Rhinolophus ferrumequinum: one gene and its partners. The protein of the gene in region 1 interacts with the protein of each later gene in a pairwise test. Links are inferred from orthologs where the notes say so. Each region holds a gene or a part of one and is shown in the gene's direction. Other genes may lie near its edges.

The links.
Region 2: the proteins of LYAR (region 1) and BEND7 interact in binary tests that used the Homo sapiens proteins (3 or more experiments, as listed by UniProt). The two-hybrid records come from large-scale screens. The link is inferred for Rhinolophus ferrumequinum from reciprocal best matches to the Homo sapiens genes LYAR and BEND7.
Region 3: the proteins of LYAR (region 1) and PRKRA interact in binary tests that used the Homo sapiens proteins (3 or more experiments, as listed by UniProt). The two-hybrid records come from large-scale screens. The link is inferred for Rhinolophus ferrumequinum from reciprocal best matches to the Homo sapiens genes LYAR and PRKRA.

The regions. Positions count from the first base shown.
Region 1 is NC_046288.1:82,856,279-82,860,025, reverse strand, and holds the start of LYAR (cell growth-regulating nucleolar protein), read left to right. Parts: upstream 1-1,331; 5' UTR 1,332-1,495; intron 1,496-3,747. UniProt on the Homo sapiens protein: Plays a role in the maintenance of the appropriate processing of 47S/45S pre-rRNA to 32S/30S pre-rRNAs and their subsequent processing to produce 18S and 28S rRNAs. Also acts at the level of transcription regulation.
Region 2 is NW_022680355.1:355,635-359,381, reverse strand, and holds the start of BEND7 (BEN domain-containing protein 7), read left to right. Parts: upstream 1-990; 5' UTR 991-1,127; coding exon 1,128-1,188; intron 1,189-3,430; coding exon 3,431-3,514; intron 3,515-3,747.
Region 3 is NC_046291.1:47,480,477-47,484,223, forward strand, and holds the start of PRKRA (interferon-inducible double-stranded RNA-dependent protein kinase activator A), read left to right. Parts: upstream 1-1,165; 5' UTR 1,166-1,431; coding exon 1,432-1,496; intron 1,497-1,803; exon of another isoform or gene 1,804-1,812; intron 1,813-2,035; coding exon 2,036-2,205; intron 2,206-3,747. UniProt on the Homo sapiens protein: Activates EIF2AK2/PKR in the absence of double-stranded RNA (dsRNA), leading to phosphorylation of EIF2S1/EFI2-alpha and inhibition of translation and induction of apoptosis.

The DNA.
Region 1 (3,747 bases):
CCCTACATGCCCTGCACATAAAAATGCCTTGAGCACCCTGCTTTTCAACCTCTTGGCCACTCTGTCACCTTTGTCAGCAACTACTTCCCTTCTTGTCCATTCTGGTGAATTCCTTGTTAAGGGCTGAGTTGCATCCCCCCCAGATTCATATGCGGAATCCCTAACCCCCTCGGTACCTCAGAATGCAACTGTGTTTGGAGATCAGGCCCTGAAAGAGGTTTTAAAATCCAATCCAATGAAGTTAAAACTCTAATGCAATCTGACTGACGTCTTGTAAAAAAAAAAGGAGCCCCAGGGATGCTCATGCAGAGGAAAGACCACGTGAGGACCCCCAAGAAGGTGGCCCTGACAAGAGAAACCAAACCCGCGACACCACTTCCAGAGCTGTGAGAAAAATAAACGTTGTTGAAGCCACTCGGTCGGCGGTATTTCGTCATGGCGGCCCTCGCCAACTGCTACACCTTCTATTCCAGGCCCAACACTGTTGGTCCCAGAGTGAAACCGCCCTTATCAGCCCCACCCCCACCCCAGGGTTACCGTTTCTCACAGTACTCGGTCCATACTCCAGTCACCCAATGAAGCCGTGAACACCTAGTGACCACCCCTGTCTGCCAGACCGGAGAAGAACGGCGAAGCGATGTAGTGCTTTACATTCATCCACTCGAGAAATCCTGCGAGACCCCGACGCAACAGGCACTGCCATTGCACGCCTTGTGCAAACGGGAGCCGAGGCACGCCGAGTCCACCCGGGAATGCCGCTGGGCCGGGTCTGCGGTCGTGGGCACTGCTCTCAACCACAGGGAGGCAGAGGGAGATGGGAACCGAGCGCGGGGAGCCCCGGACGGGGAGGGATCGGGGGCTACACGCGGGCAGTGCCCGAGCGGGCGGGAGGCCGGGCGGGGACGCGGGTGGGCTTCCCAGGCCGAGGAAGCTGCACACGGACACGGCCGGCTCCAGGAGCACGCCCGGATCTTTTGTGTCCCGGAGCCAGAGCACGGCGCCGGGGCTGCTTAACCCCCTCACGACCCGACCGCTCCCCCAGACCCTCGCGGTGCCCGGAGCTGCGGAGGCGACGGCGAGTCCGTGCCCCGCCCGGCTCTCGGGGCCGCGCCACCGCGCGGGACCCGCACGCCCTCGCGAGGCGGCCTCCGGACCCGGCGGCCACCTTACCCCGGGAGACCGCTCCGCGCCGGCCTCCGCCTCTTCACCTACCGCGACGCCCTCCGCGCCGCTCGCCGGGCTCCGGGGGACGCGGAACCATCGCGACAACGCCCCCTCGGCCGGCCGGACCCGCCCTCCGGCTTCCGCTGCCGTCACTTCCGCCGGGCGGTGCAGCCGCAGCGCGCAGGCGTGCGGGGCGGCTCGGAAACGAATTCTGCGCGGGGAAGCTCGGGAGCGAGGCGGCGGCGGCGCTGGGCCGGCGGCGGAGGCAGCGGCGGCGATTCCACGTGCTCCGCGCGGCCGGTTGAAACTGTTGGCGGACGGCCGCCGAGAGGTGAGGAGCAGAGGCTCAGAGGTCCGACCTGGGGGGCGGGCGGGCTTGGAGAACGGGCAGGGGAGGGGGCAGTATGGCCGATGCCTGCGTTTCCACCCTGCGAGCCCCTCCTTTGGTTCACACACGTAGAGGAGGGAGGAAATCTCTGCAGAGCTTATTGGTGCTCTGCTCTGGGGAAGTGGAAGGAGCCCTGGATTTAGGATGACCACTTATTTCCGGTTTTAAAACGGAAAGGTTCTTGTGCCGGGAACCTTCTCTGTCGTGGGCCAAGCGGGACGCTTGGTTCCCGCTGGCCTGGGGTTCAGGCTTGCTGCATGTTGGGGACAAGGCTCTTGTCTTCTCTGAGTCTTGGGGAGCTCGGGCCCTCCGGAGGAGGCCTTGGGGCGTAGTGGTTGAGAGCACGGGACTCGCTCTTAGGGCTCGAATCACTGCGTGTGAATCCAGGTTTACCACTAACTGGATGCGTGACCTGCTGCAAGTGACTTAATCTCTTCGTGCCTCACTTGTCTGTCAAAAGGGAACAGTATAGAACCTAACTCAGAGGACTCTTGTGAGGATTACATAAACACAAACGTGTTAACCATCTATGACGGCTTGGCATGTAGTAGGTGCTCAGTAAATGTCAGGATTTTCTGCAGCTCCTTCCTCTGAGGAAATAGGTAGGGGGACGAGGTGGGGTGTATTTGCAAGGCTCACTTTCCTGCAGAGAGGGTCCGCTTGGGACTTGTGCGTACAGCACCCCCAGCCCCCTGGCATCTAGCATGGAGCCTGACAAGTGGTAGACTTCCACAGATGGTTATTACACCAGTGAAGGGATGCTGTTTAAAACAAGGCTGGTGAGGCAATGTGTGGGGAGGGGTGAGGTTTGGCTTAACCACTCCCAGTGTCAGTTTGCTCATTGGTTAAGTGGAGACAAGTGTACCTACCTCCTAGGGTTTTTGCAAAGAGCAGGGGAGAGCTCCTGCATGAAAGCACATCTGGACCCTCATCACTCGCACATTCGGGGTTTAGACAGGATGGTGGACAGTATGTGCTCGTCTGTCCAAGAAATCCCAGAGTTTCTTGGAATTCTACCCTGGGTAGGGGCTCAGGGCTGGTCTAGTGGGCCTGATCCCTTGTTTCAGAGATGGAAGAACTTGAAGTTCAGACGGGATGGTGACTAGCTTGAGGTCCAAGTGCCTATTGGTGACTGTGCTGAGGTTGCCAGCCTGGCCTGTCAGATGGGCTGTTGTGGTGGTGGTGGTGGTGGTGGTGGTGGTGGTGGTGGTGGTGGTGTTTAGGTCTGTGTGTGTATGTGTGTGAGAGAATGGTTTAAGATTAGTGAGTGTAGTTTTTGTAGAAAATAAACAATATAAAAATGTAGAGGGAGGAGGCTAAAAAATTATTCCAAATCCCGATCCCAGAACTGATCCTGAGGTCACGTTATAAGGGAACAGGGTGGTAGAGTAGCACCCATGGGGTGGGGAGCCAGAGGAGACTGGAGTGAATTTATGAAGATAGATGAATTGAGGTCATATATAAAGAAGCATGGGTTTAGGAGGTTACTGGGTGTAACAGCATTGCGTGCAAATTGATAGGTCACAGGAAATTCTAGCATTGGGTAAGGCTGAATCTTTCACATCTGGTATCTTATTTAACTTTCCGCACAATGCTCTAAGATAGATATTAGGCCCATTTTATAGATAAACAGATTCAAGTTAGGGTGCATATCTTGAGGTCATTTAGCTTTTAAATGGCAGATGCAGGCTCCAGCTCAGATCCTCTGGCCCTGAGTCCAGTCCTAGTTCAACAGCACGGGGCTACCATCTTGATAAGAGGAGACCGAGGTGCCCCAAGTTCCTCACAAGTTCCCAGCCTTTTACTGATGCTGTCTGCTGCCCCTCCACTCAGCATCACTCTCCAGTACCTGACATCCTCCGCTGTGACACGGCTGGTCTTGCTAAGTGGGGGCTGGCCTTAGAATTAAGACTTGGGGCCCTCAGACTTTAAAAGGCCAGGTCATTTGTAGAGCCTTTGTGGGATGAGGGTCTCAAGGTCCCAGATGCTGAGTAACGGCCAAGGACATGACCAGTCCAGATGGAGAGGCAGGGCAGGAGATTGGGCTTATCACGTGGCCTGTCAGGCTGCCTCAGTTTCCTCACAGAGGGAGGTGGTGTGATCATAGCTGTTCTGGAGGTGTTGGTGCAGTTGTGATGGTACAGGTGAAATCGCTGTGTGGAGAGCTAATGGTCATGTTCTAGAAGGATGTATGC
Region 2 (3,747 bases), on another chromosome or scaffold:
CTCTTCTTCCCTAAGAGGCAGCGGAGGGATCAAACACCCACTGACATCGCACCCCTCATCCTTTCACCCCCTCGGAGTCCCACATTCCAAGTTCTCTCCTTAAATATCACTCCGGATCTTCCTACATCCCTCCTTGTATTGGGGTAACAAATTGAAGCTCACTTTCAATACACTTCTCACCAGTAAATTCTAAAATCTCTTCGTTTCCTTGCAGAGCGCAGATGGGTAAGTTTTGGGTATTTGTGTTTCCTAAAACTTGCCTAAAACCAGTGAGTCTGGCCCTTGGACATCCTGGATCTCAAGTCAAGGAGGGGCTGGCCAGGAGGGTCCCCGATACCCAGGACGATTTATGACAAGATCCGCCCCAGGAAGCGGCGGCCAGAGGCCGGTGGGGAGCGGCGCCCCGACTCCTCGACCCCCGCGGCGCCGGCCTAAGGAGCCTGGGGGAAGGCCGGCCGGGCTCGGCCGAGGGCGCTGCGGCCTCCGGCTCCTCTTCGAGGCGCGCGCGGCCAGGCCGGTGGGTGGCGGCTGCCGGGGCCCCCAGGGATGGCGGCGGCCGCGCTCCGCCAGCAGGTGGCCCTGGGGTCCCGGCGGCGCCGCCTCCTCCCGGTGCCCCTCCTCCCGCGGGGGTGGCCAGCGCCCCGACCCGGCCCGCCCGCCGCCCGCCCGCCGCGTCCCCGGGGCCGCGCTCGCCACCGCCGCCGCGTCCGGAGCTGCGCCCAGGCCGGCCCGCGGCGACATCCCGGGGCGCCCGCGGCCCCGGCCCGCCCTCCCCGCCCCCAACTCGCTCCCCAACGGAAAGTTCGGCTCCGGCCGCGTTTTCCCAGAAGCCGGGAAGGAGCCGGGGTCGGGGGGCGTGTGGAGGGGACCCGGAGGCGGCGGCCGGGAGGGGGCAACTTCTCCCGGGAAAGCACCTCCTGCCGAGCCCCGCGCGCCGCAGCCCCCGAGCGGGTTCGAGGTGGTTCTTCCCTTCCCTCGGCCTCCCCCCTGCGGATTCCAGAGACGGACCTTGGTCCCGGCGCTCCCGCGGCCGGTTGACAAGAGCGAACGCCGCCGCCACCGCCGCCGCCTCGGCTGCCGCTCCCTCCGCCCGGCCGCAGCCCTGCCTCCCGCCTCCTGCCCGCACCATGGAGTTCTCCGAGAGGAAGAGGAGCAGGAAATCCCAGAGCTTCAAACTGGTGAGCCGAGGTAAGCGGTGCCGGGCCGGGCGGCGGGGAAGGACGTGGCGCCGCGTAAACAGCCCCGCGCGCGGCCCGCGTCCTGGCGGCTCGTCCCGCTCCGGGGCTCCGGGACCCCCGAGTCCCCTGCCGAGGCGGGCCATGGCCGCACACGCCGGGCGGCGAGCAAAGTTGTGCCGGGGGAAGGCAGGAGGTTGTTGTTCCGCGTAAACAAGTCGCAGGGCACTAAGGAAATTAGCAAACAATGACACTTGGGGAGCAGAGAGCCCTCTTTGGTATTCCACTCCTGTGGCCAGGTTGGGGGCTGGGGGGAGAACTGCCTTTCCACCAGGCCGTGTGGACACATCATCCCGACCAATGGTTGTGGTCTTGGGTTTTTCGTTTTTATTTTTGTTTTGTGTTTTTTTTTCCCTCCCCAAAGAGAAACAAAAAAGGTGGTGATGGTTCTTTTAAGAATGAGAAAGAAGCTCATGAGGCGTACAAGCCCACGTAAGAATTGTTGACATCCAGCATCTTTTCTAGATACGTTATTTGGAAAGGTGTTTCAGAATAGATCACTTAGCAGTCAAAGTATTATTTAAAAAATAAAGATCCAGCCAGTTCCAGACGATTTAACAGGTGTACACCAAGTTGGATAGTGTCATCAGTTGAACAGTCTGTGTTCAGTTACTTGTTAGTCTTTATTTTCCTGATGTGACTATTTTTAAAAAAACGGTCAGAAGTTAAGAGCAGACGTAAAGATATGTTTATCAAAATGCATTGTGTCACCTTAAATGACAGGCAGGTGACTTTTTTTCGTGGTAATGTCACAAGTCCTAATATTGAGTTTAGAACCATCCTGTTGAAATACCTTCTTTAAAACAACTTGAGGTCAAAACCAAACCACAGAACCTGTCCACTTTTTGCTTTGTCTAGCTATGGAATCAGAGTAGCGAACAAGGCAATTGTTTTAACAACCTGGAGAAGTCACATGTAGTAAGCAGATGAAAATTAGAGAGCAGTTCCAAGTAATAGAGTATTTCAAGCTAAGCTAAACTACAACTACCGGTATGATGTAGATTCAATAAAGCCTGCTTTAGCTTAGTCTGAAAATGGTTTTATTATAGACATTTTAAAGATCAACTCATATCTGTTTCCCCTGATTTAGTTTGACACTGTTTCAATGAAAGAGACCTGAAATAGTTTTACGTATTCAAAATATTTGCCCCTTTCCTTTACCTATGTTCATTTTCCCAAGCACTGTTGATTACTCAGTCATTTGTACTTTAAATATCTCTTCCTCCATTTGTGACTGGCTTATGGGTCTATCTGATTCATTCAGGAATGTGAGCTGCTCTTTTATGTATGACCTCAGGGAACTTACTACTTTATCTTAAAAGTGAGAGTAGTTCTGTAGACTTTGTCCTGAGAGGTCCAAGTCCAAAAAAAAAAATGTAATAGTTGTTAAGAAGGAACCTCTATTTTCTTACCTAGGCAATCCTACATTTTAGAAATAGATTGCCAAAGCACAGTAGCCTCTATAGAGAAGCTTATAAAATACTGTATTTTTAAAGTTTGACCAACATAGCAAGTTTTTCTGTTGTTTTTTTCCCCCACGAAATTATGGGTCTGATTCTTCTCTCTGCACTGCAGGTGCATTTTTAGAAAATAAACTACTGCATATTAAAGTGCAGTAGCTGAATGCAGAAGAGTCACTTGTGTAAAAGATGAGAATCTTGCTTTCTTATCCAAATTATACTATATTTGAAACGACAAATCAGTATTTTTCCAGTGTGATTGCCTGTAAGCTACTTAAAGGTGGGGACTTTTCTGGGTAAACTGAGAGTGCCACGTAACTCTAAAGCATACTGTTATATGCTCATGAAAATGGGTTGTGGAGATAAATTTGGAATCCTCCCCTGGCCTATGATTGGGCAAGGTTTCTTTTCCTTATAAACATCTTTGTGATTTGAAAGAAAAGAAGCCTAATAATTGGCATCTGTGGGCCAAATTTACTGTGAAAACCGGGTGATCAAACAAAGCTAAAGTCAAAGTGATATTTCAAGTTTGTGTACTTCTTTAGTCAGAGTAAGCAAAGTTTTAGGGATTCTCAGTGACTACAAATTCTATGACTGACCGAGTCCTGGAAAAGAATATTCACAAGTTAAAGTGTCGGTTATCCATAATATATATAATGAGATTCTAGTCTTTATTGCTTATTCATATCTTGCAGGCCATTAGAATTCTAATTTTTGGTTGTTTTCTCGTCCCAGATTATCACCATGAGGTATATAAGATTTCAGAATTCAGCAACGATGTCAATGGGGAGGCCAAAGAGACACAACCCATTTTTTTAGGTAGGTTCCTATGTCAATTAAATTCTCAGCAAAACAGCGTGGCCATTTGCAATTGGGGGGGGTGGATGGGGCAGGAGGGAAGGGGTTGTTCCAGAACGGGAAATGTCAGCCATTCCTTAATGTATGACATTCTTTTCAATACCTTTTATTTCACAGATTGCCAATATATCCCGTATTAACATTGCTAAAAGTTGTAATTTCAGACATAAATGTTTATTAGTGTCTACACACAG
Region 3 (3,747 bases), on another chromosome or scaffold:
GGGTCCTGCTTCATTTATTTCCTTTTTGTTTCATTATTCTCATTCCAGTTACTCAACCTTTAAAGATAGCTACATAAGATTTTGGCTTGTTTCAAAGGAATTTTGTGGCTAAAAATACATTTTAGAAACAAATCTGAGGGCTGAAATATTGTATTGCCACAGTTATGTGGATGTTGTATTTTGAAATAGTGGCTATGTGGTGCTCACAAATTACTCAAAACAAATAACATTAGTGGACAGTAACTGATACTATAAAGAGGGGGTTGGGGAAGAAAGAATAGGTGTAATTCAAGCCTCAAATAATATAACCAATTTGATTAGATTCTGGACATTTTTTAAATCTGCAATCAAATATACTCGCATGCAACCTCAAAGAACAGTTTTGAGTAGTCTCTCGGTGCGAATAGGATTATGAAAAGCAATCTTCTAGAACACCGAGAAGACACACAGAGCCATTTCTGCAAGTGGCTGCAAACCCCTAGAAAAGCCACTGGACATCTAATTTCGCTGTCGGACCCCCCCCACCAAAGGTGACGCATCCTAAGCAAACCCGATTACAACCAATACCACAGGTGTGCAGAAACAGCATTTAATAGGAATCCGGCCCATTGAAAAGCCGTAGTTTACACGTAACAGGCCTAGCTGGGATCTGCGCGCCCAGCATTCACTTAGCGATGAAAGTCTAGAAGACAATGGAGCCCACGGGGAGGTAGAGGAGGGGTGTAGCCCGACGTCCCTGCGAGCTCTTAAGGGCAGGTCTCGGGGGCCGGAAAAGCTCAGCGCAGCCCTCAGGAGCTGATATACCCAGAGTCTCAAGCTTCCCGGCCAGGCCCCGGGATGCACTCTATAAATTTTGCATTTGGAATTTTGAAATCTTTTTCTTAAAGTGACGCAGCCCTCATCCTTTCCTCCGGCCCAAAAATGACTGGGCTTCGGGCCCCACAGAATCTGCGAGCCTTCCCGCCCGACAAGCCTCCTCTCCAGGCAGGAAACGGCCTCCTTTTAAAGACACAATTGCGGCTTCGACCAGGCCGGAGAACAGGGTGCCGAAACACACGGAGGCCACAGGATGGGAACCCGCTGAAGCAGAGGAAAGCCAGGGCGGGGAGAAGGGGCGGGGCCAGGCGCCGAGGCCTCCGGATGCCAGTGGGCGGGGCCGGGCAGGGAGACAGGCAGGTAGCCAGGAGAGCGAGGGGGCGTAGCCGGGAGCCCCGGCCCGAGCTGCCGCACGGAGGCTCCGCCTCCGCCCCCGCCCGTCCCTTTCGCCAGAGGGACGTAAGCAGGGAGGATAAGGGGAGCTGGAAAGGGAGAATCGGAAGGGAGAAGGCGGCGGCGGTGGCGCTGGAGTGCCCCTCTCCGGGACCGGCGGACCCGGGGAGCGAGAACGTCACTGCGCACTGTTCTTCCGCCGTCGAGCCGTCCCTTCTCGCCATGTCCCAGAGCAGGGATCGCGCCGCGGCCCTGCCGCTGGAGCACGAGGACAGCGGGACCTTCAGGTCAGCGCCGGAGAATTCCGGGCCGAGCCGAGCAAGGGACAGAGTGGCTGGGCAAGAGGGGCGGGGGCGGGGCAGCGGCTCTCGAGCGGCATTCTGGGTAAAGCCCCTTTCTGGTAAAGCCCGCCTGGGAGGCTGCGGGCAGACCCGCGGCGCGCGGGCTGGGTCTGCGGCCCGGCCCCGCCCCTTTTGCGTCCTGGGGTGGCGGGCGGCGTGGGCGGAGATGACACTGGGCCTCTTGGGAAATGGGATTTGTGGGTTTAGTCGTTTGAGGTTGCAGCACTTCTATTAGTCTACGAATCCGTCCTACCTGCATTCAAGTTACCTCCTTAAAGACCTCCCTCAACCCTGCCAGCGCGTGCCTCATGCCGGCCGCTGCGGGTCCGGGAGATGGTGCGCCTCGCCAGCTCCGGTCCTGGCCGCCGGGAGCTTCGGCGCTTTCTCCCGTCACCGTTGGTGGCGGTCAGACAGAACTGGTCTCTATGCTTCTGCTTCCCTCCCGGTTTTGATATGCACAGCACACCTTTTTCTGGTTTTTGCAGTTTGGGGAAGATGATTACAGCTAAGCCAGGGAAAACACCGATTCAGGTATTACACGAATACGGCATGAAGACTAAGAACATCCCGGTTTATGAATGTGAAAGATCCGATGTGCAAATACACGCGCCCACTTTCACCTTCAGAGTTACCGTTGGTGACATAACCTGCACAGGTCTGTATGCACAGTTAACCTTATGGACCATGCAGGTTGGCGGTCAAGATTTGGCAGCATCAGTTTAGAAAAGTGCCCTTTTTACTAGAGACAGCTATGAGGAACAGGTTCTTGAAACTGAGACCTCATCTCAGGTTATTGGGACTTTCCAACTTCATCTGATTTTTCTCCCTAGTTTTCTCATCCCCAGATACCAAGAGAAGCTCATTAACATATCCTGGGATCCTCCTAGGGTTTTTCCAAGAATTAGGGAGAAGCAGGAAAGATTCTTGAAGCAGCCATAGCTAGATCAGTAGGTGCTGTCAAGTTTTATAGTTTCGTAGAGTATAGTAGATGCCAGGAGGCATGACCCCAGAATTTTCTGAGCCTCTCTTCTTTGTGTATGGACTCATTTGCTGCGTTGGACCCATTATACCACACCCAATTCTGTATCCAAGCAGAATGAGGAAGGTGAAAGGCTTGGATACACTATATTGCATAGCAGTATTTCCTGACACTACACAGGTATTTTAATAAGCTGTTACCTCCATTTTTATATATGACAGGTTCAGAGAGATATAAGTAACACGCCCAACATCACAGTAACGAAGTTTCAGAATGCAGATTCACCTGGTTATGGTCTGTGAGTTTCATAATTAAAGCCCATTTGTAAATGTAGACATTTTATTTCTTAGGTACCTATGTAATTTCAAACAAAAAATATTGAATGCTGAATTTAATTTGGAAGAATGTCAAAAAAATTCAGCAGGAATACTGAAGTCCCACCATCTGGCAATCTGAAGGCATCATTTGTTTGTATCCCTGAAAATCTGGAGTTTGCTATTTTCATTGAAGCCACTTAACAGAAAATTTTGAAGCTTTTTGTCTGTGTAAGGCAAGTGGATTGGAAATGCTAGTTGGAAGATTCCCTATATGAACCATAGAATCAACATTGCATTACTGCTTTAATTGGACTATTTATATTTTTGATAAATTTTATTGGGGACTATTAGGGAACAGTGTGTTTCTCCAGGGCCCATCAGTTCCAAGTCATTGTCTTTCAGTCTAGTTGTGGAGGGCGCAGCTCAGCTCTAAGTCCAGGCACCGTTTTCAATCTTTAGTCACAGGGGATACAGCTCACCATCCCATGTGGGAATTGAACTGGCAACCTTGTTATTCAGAGCTTCCATTCTAACCGACCGCCCCTCCAGAAGCTCAGTAGCAGCTTGATGTCTTCAGTCTAGTTGTGGAGGGCGCAGCTCACTGACTCATGTGGGAATTGAACCGGCAACCCTTTTGTTCAGAGCTTGTGCTCTAACCAACTGAGCCATCTGGCCGCCCCTAGCTGGTCTATTTTTAAATATTCAGTGAAAATTCAAGAAAAACTAGCCTTTTACCCTTCAATGTTTTACAGACTAGAGATTGACAACCTATGGCAACCATTCTGCCGAGGCCCCTACTCTGCTCACCCTGGACTGCCCCATCTTCCTGTACAAGCTTATCTGCCTCCACAGCTTCAAATACTATCTAAAGACTGATAATTCTGAACTCTCTGTCTTCAGC